Danio rerio: one gene and its partners. The protein of the gene in region 3 binds, or shares a complex with, the protein of the main gene of each other region. Links are inferred from orthologs where the notes say so. Each region holds a gene or a part of one and is shown on either strand. Other genes may lie near its edges.

What was found. Proteins that work in one complex are often made in the same cells at the same time.
Region 1: the proteins of tgfb1b (region 3) and tgfbr2b are in contact, whole or in part, in a cryo-EM structure (PDB 9FKP), measured with the Homo sapiens proteins. The link is inferred for Danio rerio from reciprocal best matches to the Homo sapiens genes TGFB1 and TGFBR2. Residues at the interface, in NP_000651.3 of Homo sapiens: Arg303, Lys309, Trp310, His312, Tyr368, Tyr369, Val370, Gly371, Arg372, Lys373; in NP_003233.4 of Homo sapiens: Phe47, Leu50, Phe53, Asp55, Ser72, Ile73, Thr74, Ser75, Ile76, Cys77, Glu78, Val100, Asp141, Glu142.
Region 2: the proteins of tgfb1b (region 3) and lrrc32 are in contact, whole or in part, in a cryo-EM structure (PDB 8VSC), measured with the Homo sapiens proteins. The link is inferred for Danio rerio from reciprocal best matches to the Homo sapiens genes TGFB1 and LRRC32. Residues at the interface, in NP_000651.3 of Homo sapiens: Leu30, Ser31, Thr32, Cys33, Lys34, Pro325, Pro327, Tyr328, Ile329, Trp330, Ser331, Leu332, Thr334, Gln335, Tyr336, Val339, Leu342, His346, Ala353, Pro354; in NP_001122394.1 of Homo sapiens: Ser135, Tyr137, Glu158, Ser160, Thr162, Val184, Met186, Asp187, Ile188, Glu189, Asp190, Phe193, Leu202, Leu204, Arg206, Asn207, Ser208, Leu209, Thr210, Cys211, Ile212, Ser213, Asp214, Phe215, Ser216, Leu217, Leu223, Leu225, Cys227, Ser229.

What each region holds. Positions count from the first base shown.
Region 1 is NC_133191.1:44,030,608-44,034,909, reverse strand, and holds the start of tgfbr2b (TGF-beta receptor type-2), read left to right. Parts: upstream 1-1,499; 5' UTR 1,500-1,665; intron 1,666-4,302. UniProt on the Homo sapiens protein: Transmembrane serine/threonine kinase forming with the TGF-beta type I serine/threonine kinase receptor, TGFBR1, the non-promiscuous receptor for the TGF-beta cytokines TGFB1, TGFB2 and TGFB3.
Region 2 is NC_133185.1:556,912-561,206, forward strand, and holds the start of lrrc32 (transforming growth factor beta activator LRRC32), read left to right. Parts: upstream 1-1,492; 5' UTR 1,493-1,567; intron 1,568-4,295.
Region 3 is NC_133196.1:23,078,449-23,081,930, forward strand, and holds the end of tgfb1b (transforming growth factor beta-1 proprotein), read left to right. Parts: intron 1-684; coding exon 685-835; intron 836-2,274; coding exon 2,275-2,385; intron 2,386-2,461; coding exon 2,462-2,509; 3' UTR 2,510-2,972; downstream 2,973-3,482. UniProt on the Homo sapiens protein: Transforming growth factor beta-1 proprotein: Precursor of the Latency-associated peptide (LAP) and Transforming growth factor beta-1 (TGF-beta-1) chains, which constitute the regulatory and active subunit of TGF-beta-1, respectively.

The DNA of each region.
Region 1 (4,302 bases), on a different chromosome or scaffold from region 3:
ATTTTAATAAATATTTAACAGTTTTTTTATTACATGTAATAAGTGCCGCCTTGATGAACAGAATCATTTTCTTTAAAAATCACATGAAAAAAACTGACCCCAAACTTTTGATCAGTAGTGTATATATACAAGAATATGTGTGTTTAAATTTAATGTTGTATATATTTTTTAATTATATATAATTTAATTATTTAAAATAGGATGGTGCTATTCCTTTTTGTATTATTTTTATAAAGTAATTGTAATGTATTTTTAAAAGGGGTATAGAAATATTATTATTTATTGATTCATTGATTTTAACCCAGATGTAATTAAGATTGAAAAAAAGCATTCAATTGATTTAAGTTAAGTGGTTGGAAACAATGTATATGGGCTGAATTTAAACACACAAATTAAGTTGAACATTGCTAAATTTAATTTGTATGTTTAAATTTAGTTTAAATTGCAACCACTTACCTTAAAAATGTAGCAAATGCAATTAATATTTTTTTCAGTGTAGTTTTAGTGGCTTAACCAGTACTTATTTAAGGGGATTTACACCTATTTAAATTTGAATACTAACAGTTCTTGACCCCAGTGAGCTACAAAAAAAAATTAGGTAAAATTATAATTATTAGGTGTAACAATTTATAATAGGAATGAAGACACTTTGAGCTTTATCTAGAATATTTTGTGCTAAAAATATGAAAAGTTATACATTGTAAAGTAATGAGAAAGAAATATTTGTTTTTCCATATACAGAGACATGAAATCAGTCATATAATAGCCTAGAAAAAATATTCCTTAAGGCCAAGTGTCTCATGAGTTTATATTTCAAATTTGATGAAGATAACATGCTGAAATAAGATTTCTGTAAAGTTTTCCGAGACTATATCGGTGTCCTCTCCCTCACCGTCAGAGGCACTTTCTTAAAAATGACCTTCCTAAATGAAACCAGTAACAATTATTTAGTTTACATTTACATTTCATGTATCTTTGGAAAGAAGATTTTGGGTTTTACAATGTTTAAAATGCTAAAAAAAAAATCATAAACAAATATATAATGGATGAAATTAGACCTGGAGCAATACAGAAAAGTAAAAGGTCAAAAGCCACACATCTCCTGAGTATATGTTTTGAATTTGATGGCAATCTCATGCAAAATTACATTTCTGGAATTGTTTTTCTGAGGCAACGTCCTGATGCTGGCTAAGAGGTTAAAGGTGATGTGTGTAAATTATTATACAGTAGATACACTAACATAATTTACTTACTCTTTAAATGACTTGGAATATCATAAACAGTCAAAGCTCGTCACGCCAGAAAATACCCCAAATCTGTAAACTGTCAATAGGTTTACGTAACTTTCTTATTTATGCTCCAGGCTGATATCCTCTCCGCTCATCTCTGTCTTTTTCCAGCACAGTTTTCCAGGAGCTTTAGTGGGAATATCGCAGTGTTTTTCCCCCTCTTGTTTCCATTCCCCTTTTCAAGATATGAGGAACTCCGCCAGAGAGGTTGCCATGGCGTCAGCGTCCACAACAGACAAAAACAGTGAAGATTCATCCAGAGCGGCACAGCGGGCACTGCAGAGACTCAATCAGCTGGAGACCCAACACTTCACTGTTTCTGCTCAGACTGTGCAGAAGGATGATCCCCTGTGAGTTCCTGGGTAAAAGCCAGACGGTGAGACTGTTTAACTGCCGCTTACGTCAGACTGTGTGCTCTATGTTATAAGAAAAAAATAGGCAAGATTACAGCACTACCAGAGCATTTTACCTCAACAGTCCATATCCGATCTGGAAACTAAAATAATAAGACTTTGGGCCTGTCCCAATACCCATATTGCACTCTTGGCCACTGGTTAGCATATAGTATACATGCAACAGGAAGTGCAAAGATAAATAAATAAATAAAGTATAGTGTTGCAAAAAAAAAAAAGGGGCAAAATGATTGGCTCCTTTGAGCATTATAATTTTTTTTTTATATATAATAAAAAAAAACATTTCGCTGTGTAGAACATATGCCAGAGTATTTGGGGGTTCATTCAGCTGCAGTGACCCCTGATAAATAAGGGACTTAGGCGAAGGAAAATTAATAGATAAATATTTCGAAGTAATGATTAACAGAGGCACGACACATTTTTTATAACTAATTCATAACTAATTTGTCTTTGCCGGGAACATTTTACTAGTTATTTTTGTAGTAAAGAAGCAAAAACTGAAATTTAAAAGCTTAGCTGCGTAAACTGTTTAACCACAGCAGGGCTAATGTCTGTAATTAACCTTTAATAATGCTAAAATCATTCATTCATTTTCTTTTCGGCTTAGTCTCTTTATTAATCTGGGGTCACCACAGCGAATGAACGGTCAACTTATTCAGCACATGTTTTACGCAGCGGATGTCTTTCCAGCTGCATCCATGCACACTCACACACATACACAATTTAGCTTACCCAAATCCCCCATAGCGTATGTCTTTGGACTCTGCACCACCGTGCAGCCCCATGCTAAAATTTAAATCTAAATGTTATGATAAACTTAACAAAACAAAATAGCATGGACAATGTAACAATAGAAGATTACAAAAGCCCATAACCAAATTAGGCTACTGAATCATGAAAAATTGTCAAATAAATAAAATAATTTGATTATATAAAAATAAGCACTATAGTTTAAATTAATAATAAATTCTAAAATGATAGTAAAATAACACAGACAGACAGATATAGGTAGATAGATTATGCAGTATAGGCAGTTCGCCAGAAACTTACTGTAAATTAATTACAGCAAAAACACTGTATTTACAGATAGATAGATAGATAGATAGATAGATAGATAGATAGATAGATAGATAGATAGATAGATAGATAGATAGATAGATAGATAGATAGATAGATAGATAGATAGATAGATAGATAGATAGATAGATGAAATTAATTGCAGAAAATGGTGGCAGCTGTACTTGTTTTTTTTTTCTGCTGGTGTGAGATCAATTTGTTACCTTTGAGAGAAGAATGTGTTTTCCAGCAGGTTGCGTTCAGTGAATCAGAGACATATGGGTGGCGCAGAGAAAGCCTGAATTATAGCTTCTTTCAAAGCCCTGTTTGTTTTCCTATGGAGCAGGATGGGCCATTACCTCATCCTTGTGTTTTAACTGAACACGAGTCACTGCTGCTCCGTGCGTGTGTGTGCATGTGTGTGTGTGTGTGTGTGTGTATGAGCACACATGTGTTCTGGTAGGGCATTCCTTTGGCTTTCAGCACATTACAGATGATCTCTGCAGAGATGTAATGGCCCAGTGGGAATGGGGTTTGGGAGGATGCTAATAAGTGAACTGATGAATGGAATGTTAAATCGAGTCCTCTGACATGTCGAATATTGGCTAAAGCCCGCTGACCGCTTCTATTGCCTGTGGTATGTAATAATAATAACCCACGCTCATCATGAGCACTGGTCTGTTCAGTGAGGCTCATTTTTTCTAAATTTTTTTTTTAAGGTAAGTCGTCGCAAACAATATATGAGCTTAAACAATTTAAACAAATAAATTAAGTTGAACTAATTTAAATTTAAAGCTAAATTTAAATTTACTAAATTTAATTTGTTTGTTTAAATTCAGCCTGTATTAATTGTTTGCATTGGCTACTTGATGAAATATCAGTATTATAAGTTTTGATGGTTTTAAATACAGTAGATGCTGTTTTCAGTCCTGTTTTGAAGTCTTTCTTGTCCAAGACAGCTAGTTCTTTTAGTAGACATCCCAGAGGAGTTCTAACAAACTCAATTCTGCTTATAGTCAGTAGTCTAATTATATTTTGTTGAAATGGCTTTTCTTGTAAGGCTTTTGTAACATTATTAACTGAATTAACTGAAGTATTGTACATGTTGTAATGGTTGGTAGGCCAACCAGCTATTGGATTAGTAACTATTAGTGAAAATATTTAAAGATTAATTGCTTATATAGCGTAATATTATATTGAAATATTTTGAATGTAATCTAAAAGTTATTCTGGTAACATTTTAGTTTCAGTGACAATTCCCACTATTAACTGGCTTGTTATTTGCCTGTTATTGTCACAATCACCAGCAATCTAATCCTGGCAGATCGTAAACACACAGTTAGATAAGGAACTACAAATCCGCCAGTACATGGACTACCAAATCCAGTCATGCACCACTCACACGCACCTGTTCCGGATTAGACAGTTAAACAGTTAGGAAAGCAATCGAATGCTTCAATTATAACATTGGATGTGTGCAGTTTTAAAGTGACACCTGTTATTTAATGTAATCAAATTAAAAAATCCAAATAATTGAGATTTAT
Region 2 (4,295 bases), on a different chromosome or scaffold from region 3:
TTGTTTGGTGTAATAGAAACATTTTTCATTCAGATCCGACAATAGCTTTTCACCTAACTGCAGCAGATGCCCGCTAGATGGAGACAGGGGAGCGTGAGAAGACCATCAACAACAGTGTCTTTAGATGGAAAACTACATTACCACATACACATGCTGCAGTCATCTATAGCAATACTCTATTGTTTTCTAATCACAGCCTACTACAGGACACATAGCGCATATATATATATATATATATATATATATATATATATATATATATATATATATATATATATATATATATATATATATATATATATATATATATATATATATATATATTCATTTAAAACTTTTTTAAAATATACCATAAATAAAACCACCATAAACAAATTTTGTTTTTTATTTCATTAATATTATTGTTTTATTGATGTGAAGCACTTTGCACAACTTTTTTTTAAATTAAATTTTTTTTTAATATTTCCCAAATAATGTTGAACAGATTGAGGAATTTTTCACAGTATGTCTGATAATATTTATTCTTCTGGAGAAAGTCTTATTTGTTTTATTTCGGCTAGAATAAAGGCAGTTTTCATTTTTTAAACACCATTTAAGGTCAATATTATTCGCCCCTTTAAGCTCTATTGTTTTGGATAGTCTCCAGAACAAACCATCGTTATACAATAACTTGCCTAATTACCCTAACCTGCCTAGTTACCCTAATTACCCTAGTGAAGCCTTTAAATGTCACTTTAGGCTGTATAGAAGTGTCTTGAAGAATATCTTGTCTAATTTATTATTTAATATTTACTGTCATCATGGCAAAGAGAAATACATCAGTGATTAGAGATGAGTTATTAACACTGTTATGATTAGAGATGTGTTGGAGAAATCTGCTCTCTGATAAACAGAAATTAGGGAAAAATAAACAGGGGCGAATAATTCTGACTTCAGCTGTTTATAAATAAATTGCACGCGTCACTTCTGCTCCCGTAGTTTCTGATCTAAGCAGAGGACCAGTCTCGAGTACGGGTGAATGACACCGTTGACAAGCCTCACTTCACTTCTCACTGTGTGTGTGCGCTGGATGGACGTGTTTGACGCTCACACTGGATGAAGCTCAGCTCAGCTTTAAAACAAGTTCAGCTTTTCAACATCGATTTATTCTGTGTCATTGAGCCACAGAAACCAGTCCTGTGTGGATATAGCTCTGGAATATAAGGCGGAGTTTACCTCCAGCCGGGAATCCCTGCAGCCGCGGCCGGACCAGAGCGCCTCATTCTCGGGCAGCGGAGAGCGCAGAGCAGCGGGAAACTCTGATTTACACAGCAGCACACACACAGGGGAGATTTCTGAAGCGATAAGAGTTCATGTTTTAGGATACCGAGAGACTGGGTTAGAGAGTAAGAGAGTCAGAGGGAGGGAGAGAGAGAGGGAGGAGGTCAGATATCTGCCCAATCCCCAAACACCGCTCAAAAGGAAAAAACAAGATCATTTGCAGGATATTCTCACAGGATGTGTAGAGGAGCAGAAGAAGAGGAGCAGATGCTGGAGTGGAGGAGATCAGGAGCAGCGCAGCACTGAGGTACACACACACACACACACACACACACACACACACACACACACACACACACACACACACACACACACACACACACACACACACACACACACACACACACACACACACACAGTATATATTGTATTTCCTATTGTCTAACTCTAACTGTACACCTAACAGGAAAGTTAATGGTAACACTTTATAATAACTACACACTATGAATTTATTAAGCATTTACAAATAGTGAATTCATTATCTGTTGAGCAGTAACTCTACATTAATAAAGGTTAGTAAGCATGTCATTATGTTATTAATAATTAATTTTGACTGAAGTAAGTATTACACTATTTACAAACCAATCATTTAAGAATAGATGGTGGTTTTTAAAGATAATTCAGAATGTGTCAGTAAAGGATTAATAAACTATTCAAATTACATTTATATATTATTATTATTATTATTATTAGTTATTTAGTATGTTTATAAATGTTTTATTAACTCAACTTTATCCAGTTTTGTGACTTAATCTATAGAGAACTATTTATGCTTTATAAATGACTTATAAATGATAATTAAAGGCTCAGTTATATTCTAAACAGGAAAAACAGAAAATAAATGACTTTTATTTAATTTATTATTTTTAAATTTTAATTTTAAGATACACCAGTAAAACTGCATCAAATGAAAAAGGAATCTTTGCAACCTTATCTAAAATAAAACCTCTGTACACTGTAATCTTCACTAAATAACATTAAAATGTTGCATCATAATATATTGTTAAGTTATTATATTGTTGTTGCTTTCTCTAATTTTTACATAAATTTTATTTTTTTGGTAATATTGCATGGAATATTGTTCATTCGATACTGAGCTTTTAATTGTCATTTATAAGGGATTCATAAAGCATTAATAGTCCTTAGATCAGGTCACAAAGCTGGATCAAGTTGACTTAATAAAACATTTATTAACATACTAATTAACTATTAATATATGCCTGAATAATAAAGTATTGAAATCAATGTTTATACATATTATTAATGATTAACTTATTTATTCTGAATGATCTTAAAAAACACAACTACTCTTAAATAACTGGTTTGTAAATGACACAATACTTAATTTAGTAATGAAAAATAAATCACTCACAAATCATGAACACAATGATGAAGCACGTTATAAATGTGTCAAGAGTACAGCATTTGCAGCTGCAGTTATAAACTGCTTACTAACCTTTATTAATGTAGAGCTAATGCTTAACAGATTATGAATTCACTATATGCTGATGACAAATGATTCATAGTGTGTAGTTATTATAAAGTGTTACCAAGTTAATATTTAATTTCTGAGGAAAAAAACTTGTTCTGTTTGATTAATAAGCCTTATGAAGAACAGACACATGAGGAAAGCTTTCCTCCTAAACCTGTCATACATACACGTGCCATTACAGAAGTGTGTGTGTGTGTGTGTGTGTGTGTGTGTGTGTGTGTGCTTATATGAAGAGTTCAGATGCAGGAAAGAGTATTTACAGTAAGAGTTAACTGTAGTACGAGTGTTAAATGTCAGTGCTGCCTGACATTTTCATGTAAACGTATCTTCTCTCTCAGCCTCCAGTGTTTATGTTCAGATATTTCACTGTAATGCAATAGAAATATCAATTCAATGGAAATTATTCACTAGAACTATGAAATTACTGAACATCATAGCGCTTGACTTTTTCCACATTGGTTTATGTTACAGCATTATTACAAAATGGATTAAATTCCTTGATTTCCTCAACATTCTACACACAATCCTCCATAATGACAATGTTAACAAAGACATTTTGAAATAGTTGCAAATTTATTAAAGATAAACACCTGATAAATCACCTGTGCATCAGTATTGACAGTGTTTGGCGTGAAGCTCTAAACTGAGCTCAGGTTCATTCTGTCTCCACTGGTCATTCTGGAGATGTCTCAGCAGCTTCATTGGGGTTCAGCTGTGCTCAATTCAGCTGATGGACAGGATCTGTAAAGGCTACACCTGTCTATATAAGGGCCCAGGGTTGACAGTGCATGACAAAGCACAAACCAAGCATGAAGACAAAGGAACTGTCTGTAGAGCTCAGAGACAGGATTGTCTGGAGGCACAAGGCTGGGGAAGGTGACAGAAACATTTCTGCTGCTCTGAAGCTCCAGTGAGCACAGCGGCCTCCATCATCCGAGCATCAGAAACTAAACTCTCTGCTCTGATGAGACTCAAACTGAACTGTTTGGAGTGAACGCCAGGCGTTACGTTTGGAGAACAGCAGGCGGCGCTCATCAGCAGGCTAACAGCATCCCTACAGTGAAGCATGGTGGTGTTGGCATCATGCTGTGGGGATGTGTTTCAGCAGCAGGAACTGGAAGACTAGTCAGGATAGAGGGAAAGATGAATGCAGCGATGTACAGAGACATCCTGAATGAAGACCTGCACAAGAGTGCTCTCCACCTCAGACTGGGGCGACGCTTCATCTTCCAGCAGGACAATGAGCCAAAGCACACCGCCAACATATCAATGGAGTGGCTTCACAATGACTCGGTGAATGTGCTCAAGTGGCCCAGCCAGAGCCCAGACCTAAATCCTATTGAACATCCCCGGAGAGATCTGAAAATGGCTGCACACCGTCACTTCCCATCCAACCTGATAGAGCCTGAGAGGAGCTGCAAAGAGGAACGGGCAAACAAAAGACTCGAGGCTGTAATCACTGCCAAAGGGGGATCAACATGTG
Region 3 (3,482 bases):
TTGAGTACAGTGAACTCATAGTCATGTTCAAGAAACCAGTCTGGGAGGATTTGCATTTTATGACATGGCACGTTCTCCTGCTGGAAGTAGCCCTCAGAAGATGGGTACACTGTGGTCATAAAGGGATGGACATGGTCAGCAACAATACTCAGGCAGTCTGTGGTGTTGACAGACACATGCTCAAATAGTAGTACTTGCCCCAAAGTGTGTCAAGAAAATATCCACCACATCATTACACCACCAGCAGCAGCCTGAACCGTTGAAACAAGGCAGGATGGATCCATGCTTTCATGTTGTTGACGCCAAATTCTGACCCTACCATCTGAATGTTGCAGCAGAAATCAAGACTCATTAGACTAGGCAATGTTTTTCGATTGGCTGATTTGCGTTAATGAGCAGTTGGACATTTGTACCTAATAAAGTGGCCAGTGAGTGCATCTATCTATTTTTAGTGGAAATCAAAATTAGAGAAAAATTTGTGGATAAAATGCCTAGACTAACCTTTACTAACAGCATGTGGTGTGGACACAGAATGGGTTGATTAGCATGTTATAGCTATTTCTGTGAAAAAAAGGTCAATAAATCGTTTTGTTATTTTGATCTTCACTGTATTTGTGTATTGTATTTGTGTATTTGTGTGCTACATCAGAAGCCTTACTGCTGTCTTCTGCGTGTTGAATACAGAAAGTCTGAGGGTTGCTGTGTTAGGAGTCTGTACATTGACTTCCGCAAAGACCTGGGCTGGAAGTGGATTCATGAACCTTCCGGTTACTATGCCAATTATTGCACTGGCTCTTGCTCCTATGTCTGGACATCAGAAAATAAGTACTCACAGGTAACCCTTCAACAGTCCCTTCAACACAGTTCTGTATGCTACTTTTACCATAACGTGTGATTCAAAAGCTCATACATTTTGACTTTTGCACAACATATCAACACAATCTCAAGGCAATTCATAATTTTTTGATTTAGTGGTTAATTCGTATGAATTTGTATGATCTCATTCATACAGTTTAGTACAATTTGCTTATCCCCCAATGACGGGTGGGTTTAGGGGTGGGGTTGGGTGCCATGCCTTCTTTTTAAAATAGTACATTTTCATACGACTGAACTCATAAGAATTTGTAATAATTAACCCCTAAACTGACAAAATGTAAAATAGATACATTTCCTTGTGAGATCAGGCTGGACATACCTACACTGTAGAAAAATATACTGGTGGACTTAGATTTTTAAGCTGAATCAAATTAACAATTAAGTCAATTAAACTTATATTATGTTAAACTGACTTAAAACAGCTTGCGTATCTTACAAAATTAAGTTAGAACATGATTAACTTAGTTTAATAAGTTACAGTGATCTACAACATATGCAGTCAGGACTAATTGACCATATATTTTTTAGTGTATACATGTATGGCTTTTCCAGAAAACTTGCTCAGTAGCTCAGCTGGTACAGTGTTGCTTTTGTCATGCAGAGAGCTTGATCCTTTTAAAGAACTTTTTCAAAATTCTGCTTGATACCTGAAAACAAGTCTTGCTATTTTTTTTTTCTTTTTAAAATATGACATGTCATTTGTTATTGTGATTGTTGGTTGGAGAAACACCTTTAAAGCTGACATTGTTTAAGTGCTATGTAATCAGGACAACCTAGTAACTGACAAGCTTTGTTTTACAACCTTACAGAAAAATAACTGTTCATTGCCATAAAATATTGCCTCGTTACTTTTCACACACCCTGGATATTAACACCCCTTAATCTAGCTTTACACATTTACACCTATCAGAACAGAGCATTAATATGCTAGTCAATGAGTTGAATCTGTAAGCTACAAACACAGGCTTTTCCATTAATACATATTATAAATGTAACCGCTTTCTTTCAAAAATGTCCGGGTTCAGTCCTGAAGCTGTAACCTCTTCCTTTCCTATTCGCTTGTTTTGTCGTTTCTGGAGTGTCAGAATAGCATGTAAAGCCATGCCATGTGCTTCGAAAGCAGTTGCTTATATGCATTTAAATATGCCGTTTCTGCTTACATGCATATAGAGGCTAATTTGACAAGTTAAAATGAAATATTTTGTGGGACTTTAATGCAAACGTTTAAACAGCATGCAAAAATTTTTGCAAAAAATTTCACGATAGGCACATATTGTATTATCATGAAATTGAGTTGGATGTTTCACAATGTACTTAAAAAAAAAAAAAAAAAAAAAAAAAAAAAAAAAAAAAACGTGCCTGATAGTTTTGTTTTTTTTAATGTAATTTTGCCTACAGGTTCTTGCACTATATAGGCATCATAATCCTGGTGCCTCTGCTCAGCCCTGCTGTGTACCTCAGGTTCTAGACCCACTGCCCATCATTTACTATGTGGGGAGACAGCATAAGGTCAGAACGGATTTTCTCACTTTCATCAGCTCTCAGTAAATGCCATCTAAATAAAGCTCAATGTATTTTCCCCCAGGTGGAACAGTTGTCAAATATGATTGTGAAAACCTGCAAGTGTTGCTGAAAGCATCATTTCCGTTTGGTCTTGATGAGCAAAGTTAAGAGAACAACACACTGAGGTGCTTGAGACCCAGCACTTTCTGAGGGGATTTTTTAATTCTTTTTTTCAACTTGTTCTTTTTATTTTACTTGACTCTACTGTATCACACTTGTAATGATAGATTGTTTTTTACCTGTTGTACATCTATTGTGTCATAAAACTGTACTACATGTTGCCATTAAAGTGATTGTATTCATTGTTTGCTATAAAGATGCCAAATTTATTTAGTATTATTATTATATTTAGTATTTTTATAGTATTATTTAGTAGATAAATCAAATTGAGACATTTGAGACATTTCAGGTTCTGATTTTATGTTTAAGTATTAAGATTAAACATACAGTTGAAGTGAGAATTATTAGCCCCCTTTGAATTTTTTTCTTTCTTTTTTTATATTTCCCAAATGATGTTTAACAGAGCAAGGAAATTTTCACAGTATGTCTGAAATTTTTTCTTCTGGAGAAAGTCTTATTTGTTTTATTTCGGCTAGAATAAAAGCAGTTTATTTTTTTAAAAAGCCATTTTTAGCCAGCTATATTTTTTGATTGTCTATAGAACAAACCATCGTTATACAATGACTTGCCTAATTACCCTAACCTGCCTAGTTAACCTAATTAACCTAGTTAAGCCTTTAAATGTCACTTTAAGCTGTATAGAAGTGTCTTGAAAACCATCAGATAAAATAATATTTAATGTCATCATGGCAAAGATAAAATAAAGCAGTGATTAAAAACGAGTTATAAAAACTATTATGTTTAGAAATGTGTTAAAAAATCTCTCTGTGAAACAGAAATTAGGGAAAAAAACGGGTGCTAATAATTCAACTGTGTGTGTATATATATATATATATATATATATATATATATATATATGGAAGAAATAACTTAATAAATTATCAGTTAAACTTTTATGGCTTGTGTTTACTGTACAGAATTGG